2 linked regions of the Rattus norvegicus genome follow. The protein of the gene in region 1 purifies or fractionates together with the protein of each later gene. This does not show direct contact. Links are inferred from orthologs where the notes say so. Each region holds a gene or a part of one and is shown in the gene's direction. Other genes may lie near its edges.

Evidence for each region.
Region 2: the proteins of Sae1 (region 1) and Sumo3 purify together in Homo sapiens (affinity purification with mass spectrometry; 3 studies listed by BioGRID and IntAct, with this or other methods). This does not show direct contact. The link is inferred for Rattus norvegicus from reciprocal best matches to the Homo sapiens genes SAE1 and SUMO3.

Annotation. Positions count from the first base shown.
Region 1 is NC_086019.1:86,205,062-86,208,709, reverse strand, and holds part of Sae1 (SUMO-activating enzyme subunit 1), read left to right. Parts: intron 1-1,727; coding exon 1,728-1,839; intron 1,840-3,648. UniProt on the Homo sapiens protein: The heterodimer acts as an E1 ligase for SUMO1, SUMO2, SUMO3, and probably SUMO4. It mediates ATP-dependent activation of SUMO proteins followed by formation of a thioester bond between a SUMO protein and a conserved active site cysteine residue on UBA2/SAE2.
Region 2 is NC_086038.1:11,013,780-11,017,427, reverse strand, and holds part of Sumo3 (small ubiquitin-related modifier 3), read left to right. Parts: intron 1-282; coding exon 283-411; intron 412-3,648. UniProt on the Homo sapiens protein: Ubiquitin-like protein which can be covalently attached to target lysines either as a monomer or as a lysine-linked polymer. Does not seem to be involved in protein degradation and may function as an antagonist of ubiquitin in the degradation process.

The DNA of each region.
Region 1 (3,648 bases):
GCTTTAGAATTGTATAGTACTGTAGTTGGCCTGAAACTTCCCATCCTCCTTCCTTAGGTTTAGAAGTGCTGGGATTGGGGTTGGGGATTTAGCTCAGTGGTAGAGCGTTTGCAAGGCCCTGGGTTCGGTCCCCAGCTCCGAAAAAAAGAAGAAAGAAAGAAAAAAAAAGAAGTGCTGGGATTTTAGCTATGCACCCCAGCACCTGACAGCCACTGGGCGTACTAAAGACTTTAACGCTTAAGTAAGCACTCACCGATTGTGGAAGTCATTTTGAAAAAGAGCCCCTGGTGTTTGTTCTCCAGGTGCTTTGTTTTTTTGTCTTATTTTTCTTTGTAGAAATCAAAACAATTCCCCTACCTGTTTTTGTTGTGCTCAGGTTGGCCTAACTATGTGGCATAGCATGACTCTACCCCCGATCCTGTCTCTGCCTCTCCAGTGCTGCAATTACAGGTGTGCACCCACAACTTCTTGTGCCTCCATGTATTTTGCTTCTGTGCTCCAGATTAAATAATGCTCCTCTTACTGAGCTGGGGGTTATACTTCATTAGTAAAGCACTTGCCTGCTCTGGCAGGAGCCCCTGAGTTCAGTCCACAAACCATAATAATTATACTGCCTTTTCAGCACCTCTTTGGTTACTATACTAGTCTGAGTGCGCGTGCACACGGTTTCTAGTGCCTACCTCGTGCTGTGCCCCTCATTTCACACTTCACATTGGTCCTTTCTGCATCACGTTGCACCTCTTTGTTTTTGCTGTCTCTGAAAGCGGTCAAGCCAGGCAACCCCTTCTTTCCTTTTGCTTTTTTCTTTTCCTTTTTTTTCTGAAACATGTTTTTGTGTGTATAACAGCCCAGGCTGTCCTGGAACTCGCTTTGTAGACCAGGCTGGCCTAGAATTCACAGAGATCTGCCTGCCTCTGCCTCCTGAGTGCTGGGACTAAAGGTGCCCACCCCACCCAGCTTCAGGTGTCCCTTCCTGAGCTCGTGTGCTTACAGGTTTAGGTTTCTATAGTGGAATGCTTTCTTTCCCGCTATCTGTATGTTGGCTGCTTGTTTATTTCGTTTTGATTGAAAAGCTCCTTCTCTGGGTTTCTTTTTGTTGTTGAGATAAGATCTTTGTGATCTAGTCTGGATGTGAACTTCCTGAGATCCCTCTTGTCTCAGCTTCCCAGCCGCTCAGATTACAGATACACTCCTTCAGAAAGGTTTTATCATTACCACTGGTCTGTTTAAAATTGCGTCTTCCTTTGTCCTCTTTTTAGACGTTTATTTTGTATTTCTGGGGATCCATGCAGGACCTCATACGTGCAAGGCTGAGCTATAACCCCAGCAGCATCATCTAGTCTTATTTTTTTTTTTGTTTTGTTTGGTTTTTTTTGTTTTTGTTTTTCTTTCTTCTTTTTTTCGGAGCTGGGGACCGAACCCAGGGCCTTGCGCTTGCTAGGCAAGCGCTCTACCACTGAGCTAAATCCCCAACCCCTAGTCTTATGTTTAAAGAGCTGCTTTCTTTACTGCTCTGTACATTGTGGAGAAGATGCATGGTACCTGCTCAATAAAGAAGTAATTTTCTGTGCAGAATTGTTTGGGACCTGTTTTCTAGATCTGAAGGTTCAGTGGTGGTTTTGTGGTACATATAGTGAAAATTAAGTTTACTTTTTCTATTGTTCTATGATTGAACAAGTCCCACTGTTTGGGGTCATCGGATTAATAACATAGCATGTGTTTCACAGGCTTCGAGCTTCTCGGGTACTGATTGTCGGCATGAAAGGACTTGGGGCTGAAATCGCCAAGAACCTTATCCTGGCAGGAGTGAAAGGGCTCACCATGCTGGACCATGAACAGGTAGGTACCATCTGGTTGCCTGGTCTCCAAGAGGCAGTGCTGTGTGTGAGTGCTGCTGGGCAAATCCGGTTCAGTGACCTGTAGGTGGGAGACTGAGGCGGGATGGAGGCTTATGCACGTATGTAGCCTTCAGCACCTGAGCTGCTGATTCAGAAGAAGGTCTGGAGTGGTTCAGGAATGAGAACATACAACAGACACCTCAGGTCAGTGTGATGGCACTTGCCTGTAATCCCAACACTCAGGAGACTGAGGCAGGATTATAAATTCAAGCCTAGCTTTTGTTACATAATGAGGCTCCTAAAGAAGTCACAATGGGGCTGGAGAGTTCTTTCAAAGTACAAATCCCTACGTTCACATTGCAGCTCAGAACTGTCCGTAACTGCAGGATCTGACATTCTCACATTCATACATGCCGGCAAAACACCAATGCACACAAAACACCAATGCACACAAAATAAAGGTATATAAACAAACAAAAATAGTCAAAATAATCTTGTACGTGAAACTCACCAATGTTACTTTGAAAAATGTTGAATCAGAGAGAAGGTATATAGAATGCATATACAGAGAATGGTGAGCGTCCAGTATTAAACTGTACATCATATGGAGATAGCACAGCAGTGCCCGGTTCACATGCAGCTTTCTCTGGCTTGTCTCTTCTTCGGGGTTGGAAGTGTGTGTTTATACACTTCCAAGCCTCACTGACATGTAAGTTTTCTAACGATTTTTTGCTGATTTGCTTGCATCTTGGTCTTTTGAGGCAGGGTCTCACTGTAGTTCAGGCTGCCGTGGGACTTGGAGTGTAGCCTCAAGCCTATGAGACCTTGCCTCAAAAAACTAGGACTTGGGGTTGGGGATTTAGCTCAGTGGTAGAGCGCTTGCCTAGCGAGCGCAAGGCCCTGGGTTCGGTCCCCAGCTCCGAAAAAAAGAAAAAAGAAAAAAAAAAAAACAAAAAAAACTAGGACTTTCTACTGTGATATGAAGAAAGCTGACTTTTGTTTGTTGGTTAGTCTGTTTTGTGACAGAGTTTCTCTGTAGTTCTTGACTGCCCTGGCACTCGCTGTGTAGCCCAATCTGGTCACTGAGATGTACCTGCGTCCACCTCCCGAGTGCTGTGATTGAAGGCAAGCATATGCGCCTCCATGCCAGGCAGGCTCCACTATGTAGGGATTGGCTGGGAGCCTGTGTAGACCAAGCTGACCTCAAACTCATGGAGATCAGCCTGTCCTCTGCCTCCATAGTGCTGAGATGAAGGGACGTGCCATAGGTTCTGACTTTTTTATTGCCATTGAGGTAGGATTTTGGTTAGCTCTAGCTGACTATGTGACTTTCAACTCTGATCTTGCCTCTGTCTCCCCAGTGTTTTTTTTTTTCTTTTTTTTTTTTTTTTTTCTTTTTTTCGGAGCTGGGGACCAAACCCAGGGCCTTGAGCTTGCTAGGCAAGCTCTCTACCACTGAGCCAAATCCCCAACCCTTCCCCAGTGTTCTTACAGGCATGAGTCACCACACTTATTTATGAAGTGTGGGTGGTCAGACCTAGGGCTTCATTACTTCTTAGATATTATTGCCAACTACACTATATTCCCATTAAAAGTTGATTAAGTTAAACCTAAGAGGAAAGTGGTATGGTGATACATACCTGTAACCCCAGCACTCACAAATCAGAGGTAGGATTGCTGCAAGTCTGAATTCATCCTGGGCTACATATCAAAGCTCTCATACAGCAAACATTTAAAAAAGAAAGAGAATCTAAGGAAATACATATCTGTGAGCAAACAGGACAATATTTCTGAAGACTACAGTGCCCTC
Region 2 (3,648 bases), on another chromosome or scaffold:
AGCTTTGGCTGTCTAGATTTAATGAGCAGATTTTTGTCTTTGAGTTGGTAGTCTGTAAGGACTGGCTTTGCACTGCGGTTTCTACCACTGTGCTTAACGAATGTAGGTTAAAAATAAATTCTGTGTAAAAATAAGACAGTCCCACGAGCAACTCTGAGCTGCTGGGGGAATTTTGAGAATTAGGTTGTTTTTAACGAGTCAAAACAACAACCTTACCCAAGAACTTGCGCTTTAAACCCTGGTGATTCTGGCTTTCGAGACCCTTTTTTTCATGTCTTGCAGGAGGGTGTGAAGACAGAGAACGACCACATCAACCTGAAAGTGGCAGGGCAGGATGGCTCAGTGGTGCAGTTCAAGATCAAGAGGCACACTCCGCTGAGCAAGCTGATGAAGGCCTACTGTGAGAGGCAGGTACGTGCTGACCAGAGGAAGGAGTCTTGTGGGGGGTGGGGGATGGGGGCTGCTTGTGTTGCAGGCTTGCCTTTACTGCCCTGGATCTTGGTATCAGCATGAACTTATAGTGTGCCTCTCCCTGGGCTCCTACACATGGATAGGTGGATCTTGGGCTTAAGCAGACTCTAGTGGGACTTGCTACCTGGTAGACCATCATAGTGGTGGCACACTCCTATAGGGGCAGTAAATGGCTCTGCTGAGGCCCTATGGTGCACTCAGACGTGGATCAGTGCTGGTTCGAATTCCTCTTTCTGGTATCCATCCAATTATGCTCATGTATGCTGTCCTCATTGGCGATTTTATTTTATTTTTTAATGTTATTCAGGAAAGTAAGGCTACATGCAACCCCATCAATTCATTACTGTTTTACAATAGCAAGCTGACTGACCTTGTCCCCAGCAGTGAGCAGGGTTGTCTGTGACTGTGAACTCATGGCTCTTGTACACACCGTGCTTGGGTCTGTCCATCTATTCATTCTTATTAGGACCTTCTGGCAGATGGGCACATGCTAGCCCGCCTGGAAGGCCTTGGACTCCTAGTCTCAATTGCTCCTCCGATGTCTGCCTCAGTGGCTTCTTGGCTTGCTGTACATAAACCCAAGTGCCAGATCCTGTTTGAACCCTGCCAGCTGGTGGCTCTCAAAGGGGGCCCTGCCCTTCTGTGAGGGTAGCAGCATCTCCTTACGGTGGTTCAAGGTTGCCCTGAGCGCTTGCCCGCACAGCTAGGTACTGTCCTGAGGTGGTACCATGCTTTTTCCTTTCCTACCTCCTGAGCCCTGCAGATGGTGCCCTCGGCCTCCTCTCTTCTGGGTTTTGACCACAGATACTTCTCACCTGGGAAAGGTGAGACGGAGCTTGCTGGTGACACCATGTCCCCCTTGTGCCCTCCCAGCTGAGTCAGCTTCGTGTGCTGTGTGCCACCACTTGGACTGCACATGTGTAGGCCTGTTCCTTGCTCTTGTGGTTGTGTTTGCCCGGGTTTCTGCTGAGACGCTATGTTGAGGGTGCACACTAGGTCAGCTACCTCAGTGTTCTGGGGCATCCTGCTGGCCCCACCCAAGCCATTGTTTGGAGGTGAGGTTGTATGCACAGCTGCCATCCCAGAGTCTTGGGAGAGTCATTCTGGAGTCTTCTTTGTCTTCTCTTGAGTCTTTTTCTGTGTTAATAGCATCATCTCCCACATCTGACAGGGACATCTTGTCACATCTGGCTGCATGTAACAGTGTAGGCTGCGGTGAGCTATCAGGAAGGTGCCATCATTCTCTGTTAGCATCCTGTGTTTTGGGACACGGGTGACATTCTGCTTCTCTGATGTGAGATCTCAGCAGGGGCTCAGGAGAACTCCTCACTCTGGCATGGTGCTCTCTGGGCCCTTCCCATATGTAGACTTGTCTCTACCTGTCCTGCTCCTGGGTAGACAGACGTCTACCTCTGCTGCTGGGAGTGCCCAGTTCCCCTCAGTCAGCCAATCTGTGTGCTTACCTGTGACCATTTTCCTCCGTTCAAAGATTTATTTATTGCGTGTACGGTATTCTGCCTGCCTGCATGTCAAAGAGGGAATCAGATCCCATTACAGATGGTTGTGAGCCACCATGTGGTTGCTGGGAATTGAACTCAGGACCTCTGGAAGAGCAGTCAGTGCTCTAACCGCTAAGCCATCTCTCCAGCCCCCAGAAGTGCTCTGTCTGCTTCTGTTTTGTGGTTTTTTTTTTTTAACCTAGTAGCAACTTTTTTTTGTTTTCTTGGTGTGTGTGTGTGTGTGTGTGTGTGTGTGTGTGCGCGCGCGCGCGCGCGTGCACATGTGCGTGCACACACAGTTTTTAACCTTCCTAAAAGCTTTAAGTGTACATGTGTTTTAACTGCTCCATCTCCTTTTTTCTGCCTCCCAATATTGAAGAAACTCGAATTGATGTTATACAGGATTTGCTTAGGAGACATGGAGTCATACAAAGTGGAATTCAGCTAAAGGAACACTGTCTCCAAAACACCCTAAAGATAAGTGGGGTACCAACCAGGCCTGTTAGAGATAAGAGACACTTAGGAGGCTAGGATGTCAATGTTTCTTCACAAGGACTGTTAGCTCTATTCTCACATCAGAGGCAACAACCCTGACTTACAAGCAGCTATTAGACCTATCAAATGATACGCCTCCAGGAGGACCGAGCAGGGTCACAGCCAGTATTCAGTCTGGCCTGGTATAAAGTCCCCCTTACTGAGAAATGCACGCGGTTAGGTGGGCAGGATTACCCCAGGTAAGAACCATTTCAAAGAGAACAGCACTGGTGTACTTAAAATAATTCTGGCGATATGCCGTATCTTTGCTGTGTAAACTTCCCATCTGCCTGAGTGGCCAGACTTGCAGTGTCCTGTGTCTGTTTAAGTTGTTCACAGTGTGTCCTGGGCCTGGGACATGTTGCTTTCTTCTTTTCTGGTCTCTTCTCACCTATTTGAGTCTTTTCCTAAATGCCCCCCACCCCCACCCCCAGTTTCTGCTTGTATTTAAGAGTGATGGAGCGAACCCCCGTGGGAAGGAGAAGGGCTGTGTGTTTGGGTGGACATAGCAGAGGCTGCATGTCCGCAGGGTGGTTAGAACTGGGGAGGTCTGGGGGCCCAGGTGCTGCTCTGAGAGGCACTGTTTCCTAAGGAAGATTGCCTCCCAACTGTGCCCAGAATTGGGGTTCAGCTGGAAGACTGAGGAGTCTCTGAGGGTCATCAGGGATGCAGGCTTTTATTAGCCTACACTGGGACACCCACTGCTCATACCTGTCTTTTTTTCTTTTTAAAGATTTATTCATTTATTATATATAAGCACATTGTAGCTGTCTAAAGACACACCAGAAGAGGGGATCAGATCTTTACAGATGGTTGTGAGCCACCATGTGGTTGCTGGGAATTGAACTCAGGACCTCTGGAAGAGTAGTCGGGTGCCCTTAATCACTGAGCCATCTCTCCAGCCCACTCATACCTGTCTTGACAGAGCTCTCAGTCCACATCTCTAGAAAGCCCTGCTTATTGCTGTGAGAGAGAAACTTTCTTGGCCTCTGAGGATTGTGGGGGACTTTGAACCCTTGGTGATTCGTGTGAACTTTTTATTTTTATATACATGGGTGGTTTTGCTTGCATGTATGTATGCCTGTGTACTATACAAATGTCTGGTTTTCACAGAGGCCAAAAAAGGACATTACATCAGATCCCC